Cricetulus griseus: one gene and its partner. The protein of the gene in region 1 interacts with the protein of each later gene in a pairwise test. Links are inferred from orthologs where the notes say so. Each region holds a gene or a part of one and is shown on either strand. Other genes may lie near its edges. The genes, in order: Lpxn and Hoxc9.

Region 1 (3,813 bases):
AGAATTTAAAAATATACAAAAGTATAGAAAACATTTTAACAGAACCTAAGCCACAATCATCAGCTCCTGATAACCTTCCTTTATATTGTTTTCAAGAAACTTAAGATATTAAATTTCTTTCTTTTTAAAATAAAGATGCCAATCTTCCAGGGTGTTGTGGCTTCTCCATCAGAGAGCCCAGTCTAGCTTTATCTCAGTTTTTCTGTGCCTGTGTGTCCTAGTGTTTGTCCTTTCTTCATTCTTTAACACCCCAGATAGATCAATCCCAGAAGCTACATGGAGCAAAGCAATAACTATGTCACTTTTGTGAGATTTTATATAATTAAAGCCTTAAGTTTGGGGCCTGCACTTTCCCCTTTGCCTTTTGCCTTTGCAGTCTTCCTTCGTAGGCCTGTGTCTGCCTATTGGTAGCCTGTGTGCCTGTCTTTGTATGTGCTTGTGTGTACCAAGGTGTGCCTGGGTGCCTGCTCAGTGGACTCTGTGCCAGTCAACAAACTGAGTCTTTAGACATTACATTTCTTATCTGTAAAATATTGCAGCCTTAATATATAAGTATGTAATGTTTATAAAGACAACCACACTAACACTGTCATACCCAGAATAGCTAACAACCTTAATGGTGGCTCCTCAATGTCAAGAGATGACATTATCACAGCTAAAATTAACTGAAGTCACTTTAATGTTAATATTTTCAAATTTCTAAAATGCTAGTATTTAATATTATTGACTATATAGTGTTAAATATTCTTTAAAATATTTTATTAATTTATTATTTTGTCACCTGTCTTCTTATGCATATAAAACTCATGCTAAACACTGAATTCTGATTTGCCCAAGATGTATTTTTGTACTTGCCTTTAAGTTTTTGATGGTAAGTTCAGGAAAATCTCACAGAAATACTATCTTGACTGCTTTATTTTTTAATTAAAGTTATGACCTAAGTTGCAGGGTGTTGGTGGCTCACGCCTTTAATCCCAGAACTCGGGAGGCAGAGGCAGGCGGATCTCTGTGAGTTCGAGGCCAGCCTGGTCTCCAGAGCGAGTGCCAGGACAGCCTCCAAAGCTACACAGAGAAACCCTGTCTCGAAAAACCAAAAAAAAAAAAAAAAAAGTTATAATCTAAATTAAAATTAGTTACATGTCTCTTATTATTATATATTTGCCCTTATTTTTCTTTCTTTTTTTTTCTTGTCAGTTTATTTATTGAAGGACAGTCCGGCCTAAAGAGATTAGTCCAGTTCGGTTATTTCTGAAATGGTGTACTAAGGTCAAAACTTTGTGATATGGATGATTGAGAAAGTTCTACAGAAGATTTCTTTTGTAAAAACAAGCGATTAGATCTTCCTTATAATATTGAGAAATACTCAACCTTAATCTGGGGCATGTGGCTTAGTGGCGCATTAACATACTTTGGTAACATAATAAGTTCCTGGGTTCAGCATCGTAAAGAGGAAAAACAGTGGGGCTAAGACAGTTTTGAGCTGCTCCATGATGTCTCACCCATGTGAGACATTCCTCAAAAGGGGAGGCAGGAAGATTATGAGTTTTAGGCCAGCCTGGCTTACTTGGTAAATTTCAGGCCAAGTTGTTCTGTGGCAGCCTCTCTTAAGAACTGGACAGACCAATCCCAGTTCCCTCTAATTCCCATCCTCAAGATTGTTTTTAATTGAAATTAAAATTAATTTAAAAAACAGACAGACCAAAACCCTGTCCTCTCCTAGTATGAAATGCATGAACATGTTTGTTTTTTAATGATGTGATAAGTTCATTTTCTTTATTTGAGAATTTCAGAGATAGGCGGGTCCTTAGAAATCACACAATCTAATGCTTTGCAAGCTTATAAAAACTAACATATATTTTAAAAATTCACTGAAGTTCAAAAGAAGATACAAAATTATCTTGAATTACAATTTGAAAAATATTGTTCCATCCAGTTGCTTCATTATGTAGATGAAGAGAACATGCTGTGCTTAAGATGACTCAGACAATCTGGTGATGATGGCAATTCCAACTTACATGTTGGTGGGGCTCAGATAGCTCCCCTTGGAGCTCTGATGCTGTGATCAAGAGCCTGTTGGAGCTGCACTCTTTCTCCTGTATATGAAATGAGGACAGTGATGTCCTCTACCTAAAAGTGTAAGGACAACACTCTTCATACACTGTGATTGGTATGGGTTTATAATTTTCATTAATCATTATGATTAATGACATTATAACAAGAAGGTACTAGCAAAATGCTTGTGAAGTATATTGGCATTTTCCCAAGAAAACAGCAAATGAGGTCCAATTATTTGGATTGCTACATCTTGCTTGATTGTACAATATTTTTTTCAACTTCTTTTACTTTCTACATTCAAACTGACTAACAACAACAACAACAACAACAACAAACATTAATACTTGACAGTTTTTTTCTTGTTATATTATTGCACTAATCCTTCAGATATTAGACTAAAAAAGTCAGGATTAATGTTTTGCCTCCCTGCTGTGTGGGATGAATTGTATGAAAGAATAAAAAAAAGAATTTTGCTTCTTGGACTATTTTGAAAAACCTTATTTTTTCTAATATGAAGTACATGTGTTTTCTTCTGTGTGTGTGTGTGTGTGTGTGTGTGTGTGTTCTACCCAACTGGTTAAAAATCAATACCTAGAAGCCAAATTATAGGAAACCAGATTGTAGAGAGCCAATATAATGGAATACAACCATAGGAAATATCAAATGGACCATAATCTTCCCAGGCATATCCCAGGACATGCCACACTCCTGAAGTGTGAGGTATGGAGGGAGGTATTTGAAAATTGTTATCCAAAACAAGAAGAGAATATTTAAGAAGAAAATAACTCTGGAGACTCACAAAGTCTATATTAAGCTCCTTTTGTGTCCTGTGATATAGATGCCTTATTGGAGGAATTGGAACGCTCCACCCTCCAGGACAGTGATGAATATTCAAACCCAGTTTCTTGTCAGCCGGGTCAGCAATCCAAACAGGAGAGCAAGCTTCCCAAAACTCCAAAGACCTTGTCATCTCAGAGTCACACAAGTCCTTTGAAGGTAACATTTCATCTATTGCAGTGTTATAGACAACATTCGACTGTATTTCTGAAAATTGTTTCCCATATAAAATTATATTAAGGAGGCAACATATATTCAGGACAGAAAAAAAGTATCATTTCAACATTAAAAACAGTTGATTTTGGAAAGAGGAGACTTGAGGACATGACCATAGAGTATGCCTTTGAAACTCTCTTCTTCTGGCAGAATATTGCCTGGTTCATGCTGGCTACTGTGATGGTGCTCCCTGGCTACCAGAAGTGCCATGTTACAGTGTGACTGGAGTCATACCCAGTAAGAGCAGGGATAACCTCATCTTTTAGACTAGTCTTTTTGGGGTGACTGTACAACTGTTCCTTTGTTGGTCTTATTTTCGGCTGAATAGATTCAGGGAGTGATTGTTGAAATTCTTAGACTACAGCCATAGGATTCCTCATGTTTTCCCACACAGATAACTGCACTTGATTATCACAAAGCAGCCTCCTAGATGCCTGACTTAGGACAGATCATGGCAGTCTTCTGCTCTCACTCTCCCTGTGATTTCCCATCCCATTTGCAGTAGAAGGCACTGTGTTGGCGCTGATCTTTGTGGATGACCACATCTTTGTTTACCTGCAAGAGACCTGAGCTTTTGCTTATTTTCCCGACAGCTCATTGATTTCCTTTCATGTAATAGTTTCAATTGCTTTTGAAGTTTTATGATTAGTGTTTGCATTAATATAGCAATATGATTATGACTAACTCCAAAGGTGATTAAGAATG
Region 2 (4,442 bases), on another chromosome or scaffold:
ACCTCTTGGCCCCCTCTCCTATACCCATAATGAGGATATTTCAGCCTCCCCAAAGCCTTCCATTTGCTAAACCACCATGGGAGGTCTGCTGAAAGCCTAGTCTGTGCATGCAACAAACCCCAAATTCAAGGGGGAGGATAGCAGTCAACTTCTGAGGAGGGAGGGATCCAAGTTGCCTGATAATTCCTTTCAATCATACAGCCACCTCCTGAATTCTTCCATCCGACCCCAAAGAAATTGCCTTCTCCCATCCCTCCGTTGCCTTTTTCTGTTCCAAAAACAGCCTACAATTTTATTTAATGAAAGACACATTTATGAACAATCAAATGATCCTCATAAAAATTTTATTGAAGGACGTAAAAACAAGCTACTTGCCCACGACCCAGGTCGCTCTCTCGCTTTGCCTGTTCTCACCCTGGCTTTCTGCAGAACCTCCGAGTTACTTCTCTTTTTGGGGGGGAGTGGAAGTGTTACAGAGATGGACCTGGGGGTAAAGGAAGGCGAGCAGGCAGATGGGATGGGGATGCCCCACTTAAGTTGTGTAGTTCTCTCCTTCACTTCTTCAAGCTGGCAAAGAAACAGAGACAATAAATTTGAATAAAGGCTTATATATCTGTGCCAAAGCAAGAGGAGACTTGTGAAGCTGATGATAAAGGTGTGGAAGATCAGCAAGTTCTACTTCCCCCAGCCCACAGACCACCTTTCCCAAGCTTCCATACCCTAGATTTGGGGATCTAAGCTGGCCAGTGGCAGAAGAACTCTCCCCTTTCCCTCCTTCCCTCCCTCCATCCCAGTTTGTTCAGTCCCCTCCCACCCTCCCTCCCTCGCTGTTGCTGGTGCTGCTGTTCCTGAAAGAAATACATACATACACCGTATTTAAAAACGCATTTTTAAAAGCCACGTTCCGAACTGACAATCGCAGATCTCCGCTCACTCAGAGACTGCAGGAGCATCGGGGCAGACAGAGATAGATTACGTCAAGAAATAGTTCCTCCACCTACCTCGTCCGGCCTCCCCGCCCCTGTGGGGCTCCCCGAGCCCAGCTCAGCCCTGGGGGTCCAGGAACCCTGGCTTCTGGGACTGGCATTTTCACCTTTTTTTTTTTTTAATCCTCATGGTAGGGGGAGCCATCTGCTTTTGGCTGCACATGGTCAAGGGGGGGGGGTTCCCTGATGAGATATGAGTCATCCGGAGTGGGGTGTCCAGCGCCTTGGGTCCAGAGTTGCAGATCGTCAGGAAAACGCAGGTCGCGGGGATCAGCAGAGAGAAGGGGGTGGTAAAGGGGGGAAAAAAGCAAGGGGAAAAAAAGCCCCTGCGCATTGATCCGCGCCGTATTTTTGGGTAAATACGATCACGTGGGGGCTGGGGAACCAATGAGCTGCCGGGAAAAGGCTGGAAAAATAATTACCTGCCTTGATTGTTCTGTGAGCAGATAAAAAGTACATATACAGTTCATACAATAATCTTATGTATGTAAAACCCTGTTACGATGTCGGCGACGGGGCCCATCAGTAACTATTACGTGGACTCGCTCATCTCTCACGACAATGAAGACCTCCTAGCGTCCAGGTTTCCGGCCACCGGGGCTCACCCTGCCGCCGCCAGACCCAGCGGCTTGGTGCCGGACTGTAGCGATTTTCCGTCCTGTAGCTTCGCGCCCAAGCCGGCCGTGTTCAGCACGTCGTGGGCGCCCGTGCCCTCGCAGTCGTCCGTGGTCTATCACCCGTACGGCCCCCAGCCCCACCTCGGCGCCGACACGCGCTACATGCGGACTTGGCTCGAGCCGCTGTCCGGCGCCGTCTCCTTCCCCAGCTTTCCGGCCGGGGGCCGTCACTATGCCCTCAAGCCCGACGCCTACCCCGGGCGCCGCGCCGACTGCGGCCCAGGCGACGGCCGCAGCTACCCGGACTACATGTACGGCTCGCCCGGGGAGCTGCGCGACCGCGCCCCGCAGACGCTGCCCTCGCCCGAGGCGGACGCGCTGGCCGGCAGCAAGCACAAAGAGGAGAAGGCCGACCTGGACCCTAGTAAGTTGGGAGCAATTTTCATTTACAACCGGCACAGGAGGGGAGGGGAGGCCAGGCGGGGGCAGCCAGATTACAGCCCGTCCAAGCGGTGCAGGCAGCGCGGGAGAGGGGCGAGGGCGAGGGGGCGAGGACTCAATAAAAGCAAATTACCTTGGGGAGCTCTCAGGGGCAGGAAGGTCTGAGAAGGGGGCCCAAGCAGCCAGGTTGGGAGAGGGCCGGCCACAGGGACTTCTCTGCCAGAGGCTAGTTTTGAAGGAAGACCCCTGTGTCGCCCTCTTAGCTCAGGCTTTTTTGGCTCAGTGGTCACTTTCAAAAAATAAAATGCAAACAGGAACAGGGGCTGGGCTGAGGTTCACTTTGTGGTTTGAGAAGGGACAGGGCAGGATGCTTGGAGCAAAAGGAGAGAAATTATCCCTACCTCTCAGCCAGTGTGGGGGTCTTCATCCCACTAGGGTTTATAAAACAGAAGATCCACTGAGTTTTCCCTTGGGAGAAGGATCTGGGGGTACGCAGCCTAGGAACTTAGGCCAGGACTTCCAGACGTAAGTGGGAGAGAAGTAAGGTCCGAGACTCCTTAAACTTGAAAAGCCACTTTTAAGTGTCCACAGGATAGAGTTGTGAATGGGGATCAGGAATATGGAATGGGGAAGGCTCTTCAGATTAAAGAATTACACACACACACACACACACACACACACACACACACACACACACGAGAGAGAGAGAGAGAGAGAAGAGAGAGAGAGAGAGAGAGAGAGAGAGAGACAGTCCAAGTCAGGGAGTCGAGCACTCTGAGTGTTTCATAGAAGGGGGAGAGGCTGGCTAGGGTAGGTGAAGTGGTGGGGGGCAGGTGTAAGCTGCCAGGTCAAAGAGAGAGGGGAAAGAAGGGGAAACAGCAGGGGAGAGGTGCAGCCCCCCTGGGGGTGAGGAAGTGTCTAGGGATCCCCAGGAGGAGACTTCAGGAAATCTTTTCCTCTAGCTCCATAAGGGGCCAGGGCCTAATTATACCCCTCTGAAGGCTTCCCTCTCTGCCCTCAGCTACTCCCATAAACCTGAAATTGGAGGCTTGTCTCCTGCAGAGCCTGTCCTAGAGCTGACTGGAGTGGGGTTATGGGGGGGGCGGGGGGGGAGCACAACACAGTGGTGACCAACAGAGAGGCTAAGATATGGGGGAGTCTTTCTCCAAGGCCAGCAGCTCTCTGAGGAGAGGGGAAGGTTTAACCCTGATAATTCGCCTCAGCAGGGTTGAATTCTGAGCCGGAGAACACTGGAAAGAAGTGAGGGTTTAGGGACTCTCAGGGTCAGGAAAAAAAAAAAAAACTATGAAATCTCAGGACTTGGTCGTGGGCTGTGAGGCTGGGAGGGGGCAGAGGAGGAGGGAAATGGGGAGGAGAGGGACCTTGCTATAAAAATAAAAAACAAGAGAGAGAGAAGCGTTTATGGGCCTATGAAACAGTTGGGAATTTGGACTTTTTATGAGGATATTCTCGAATTACTACTCTTGAAGCTGAGGACCAGACTGTGGGGGCTTTGGTAGCTTCAAATTTACTACAGTTTTAGGTGTTGGAAACTGAACAAGGAGGGGACATGGGGAGGGGGAATATGAAAAAGAGAAAGGAGGAACATGCCTAAAGCAAAACGTGTCCAAATTCAGGTTCAGTCATTGAGTTTGGGGAGCTTGGCTAAGCATGGGGGTGGAATGACAGAGGTCCTGAGCTGGAAGGGAACTCCACTGACCCTTGCCTATGTTTGGCCCTCTAGGCAACCCCGTGGCCAACTGGATCCACGCCCGTTCCACAAGGAAGAAGCGCTGCCCCTACACCAAGTACCAGACGCTGGAACTGGAGAAGGAGTTTCTCTTCAATATGTATTTAACCAGGGACCGACGATACGAGGTGGCCCGTGTTCTCAATCTCACTGAGCGGCAGGTCAAAATCTGGTTTCAGAATCGGAGGATGAAGATGAAAAAGATGAATAAAGAGAAAACCGACAAGGAGCAATCCTAAGCCCTGCCCCAGCCTGCTGCCTCGGCACAGCCCAGGGAAACACAAAAACCCCACAAAAATGCCCCAACCCAGGCGGGAGAAAGCACGAAAAGAAAAGGAAAGAGCAAGATAGAGAAAAGCCCATCGTCTTAAAAAGAAAAACAAGGAAGGGGAAAATGCAAACTCTTGCGATGTGGGAGGGTTAAGTGTTGAGAAATTGGTGTTTAGAGTTAGTTCTATCCAGCAAGGAGGAGGCAGGAGAAACCGCGTTCTCTTCTCCCCAGCGCAACTGAAATAAATGACACACACAAATGTGATTTTTTTTTCCTTCTTTCTTCAGAGAAGCCAGTATTTAAATTTTTCTGTCTCTATCTTTCTCTGTCTATGTCTCTCTGTCTCTCTCTGTCTCTCCCTGTCTCTGTCTTTCTCT

The links.
Region 2: the proteins of Lpxn (region 1) and Hoxc9 interact in binary tests that used the Homo sapiens proteins (3 or more experiments, as listed by UniProt). The two-hybrid records come from large-scale screens. The link is inferred for Cricetulus griseus from reciprocal best matches to the Homo sapiens genes LPXN and HOXC9.

The regions. Positions count from the first base shown.
Region 1 is NC_048596.1:47,746,260-47,750,072, reverse strand, and holds part of Lpxn (leupaxin), read left to right. Parts: intron 1-2,893; coding exon 2,894-3,040; exon of another isoform or gene 3,041-3,051; intron 3,052-3,813. UniProt on the Homo sapiens protein: Transcriptional coactivator for androgen receptor (AR) and serum response factor (SRF). Contributes to the regulation of cell adhesion, spreading and cell migration and acts as a negative regulator in integrin-mediated cell adhesion events.
Region 2 is NC_048595.1:399,355,260-399,359,701, forward strand, and holds the start of Hoxc9 (homeobox protein Hox-C9), read left to right. Parts: upstream 1-1,452; 5' UTR 1,453-1,489; coding exon 1,490-2,027; intron 2,028-3,788; coding exon 3,789-4,033; 3' UTR 4,034-4,442. UniProt on the Homo sapiens protein: Sequence-specific transcription factor which is part of a developmental regulatory system that provides cells with specific positional identities on the anterior-posterior axis.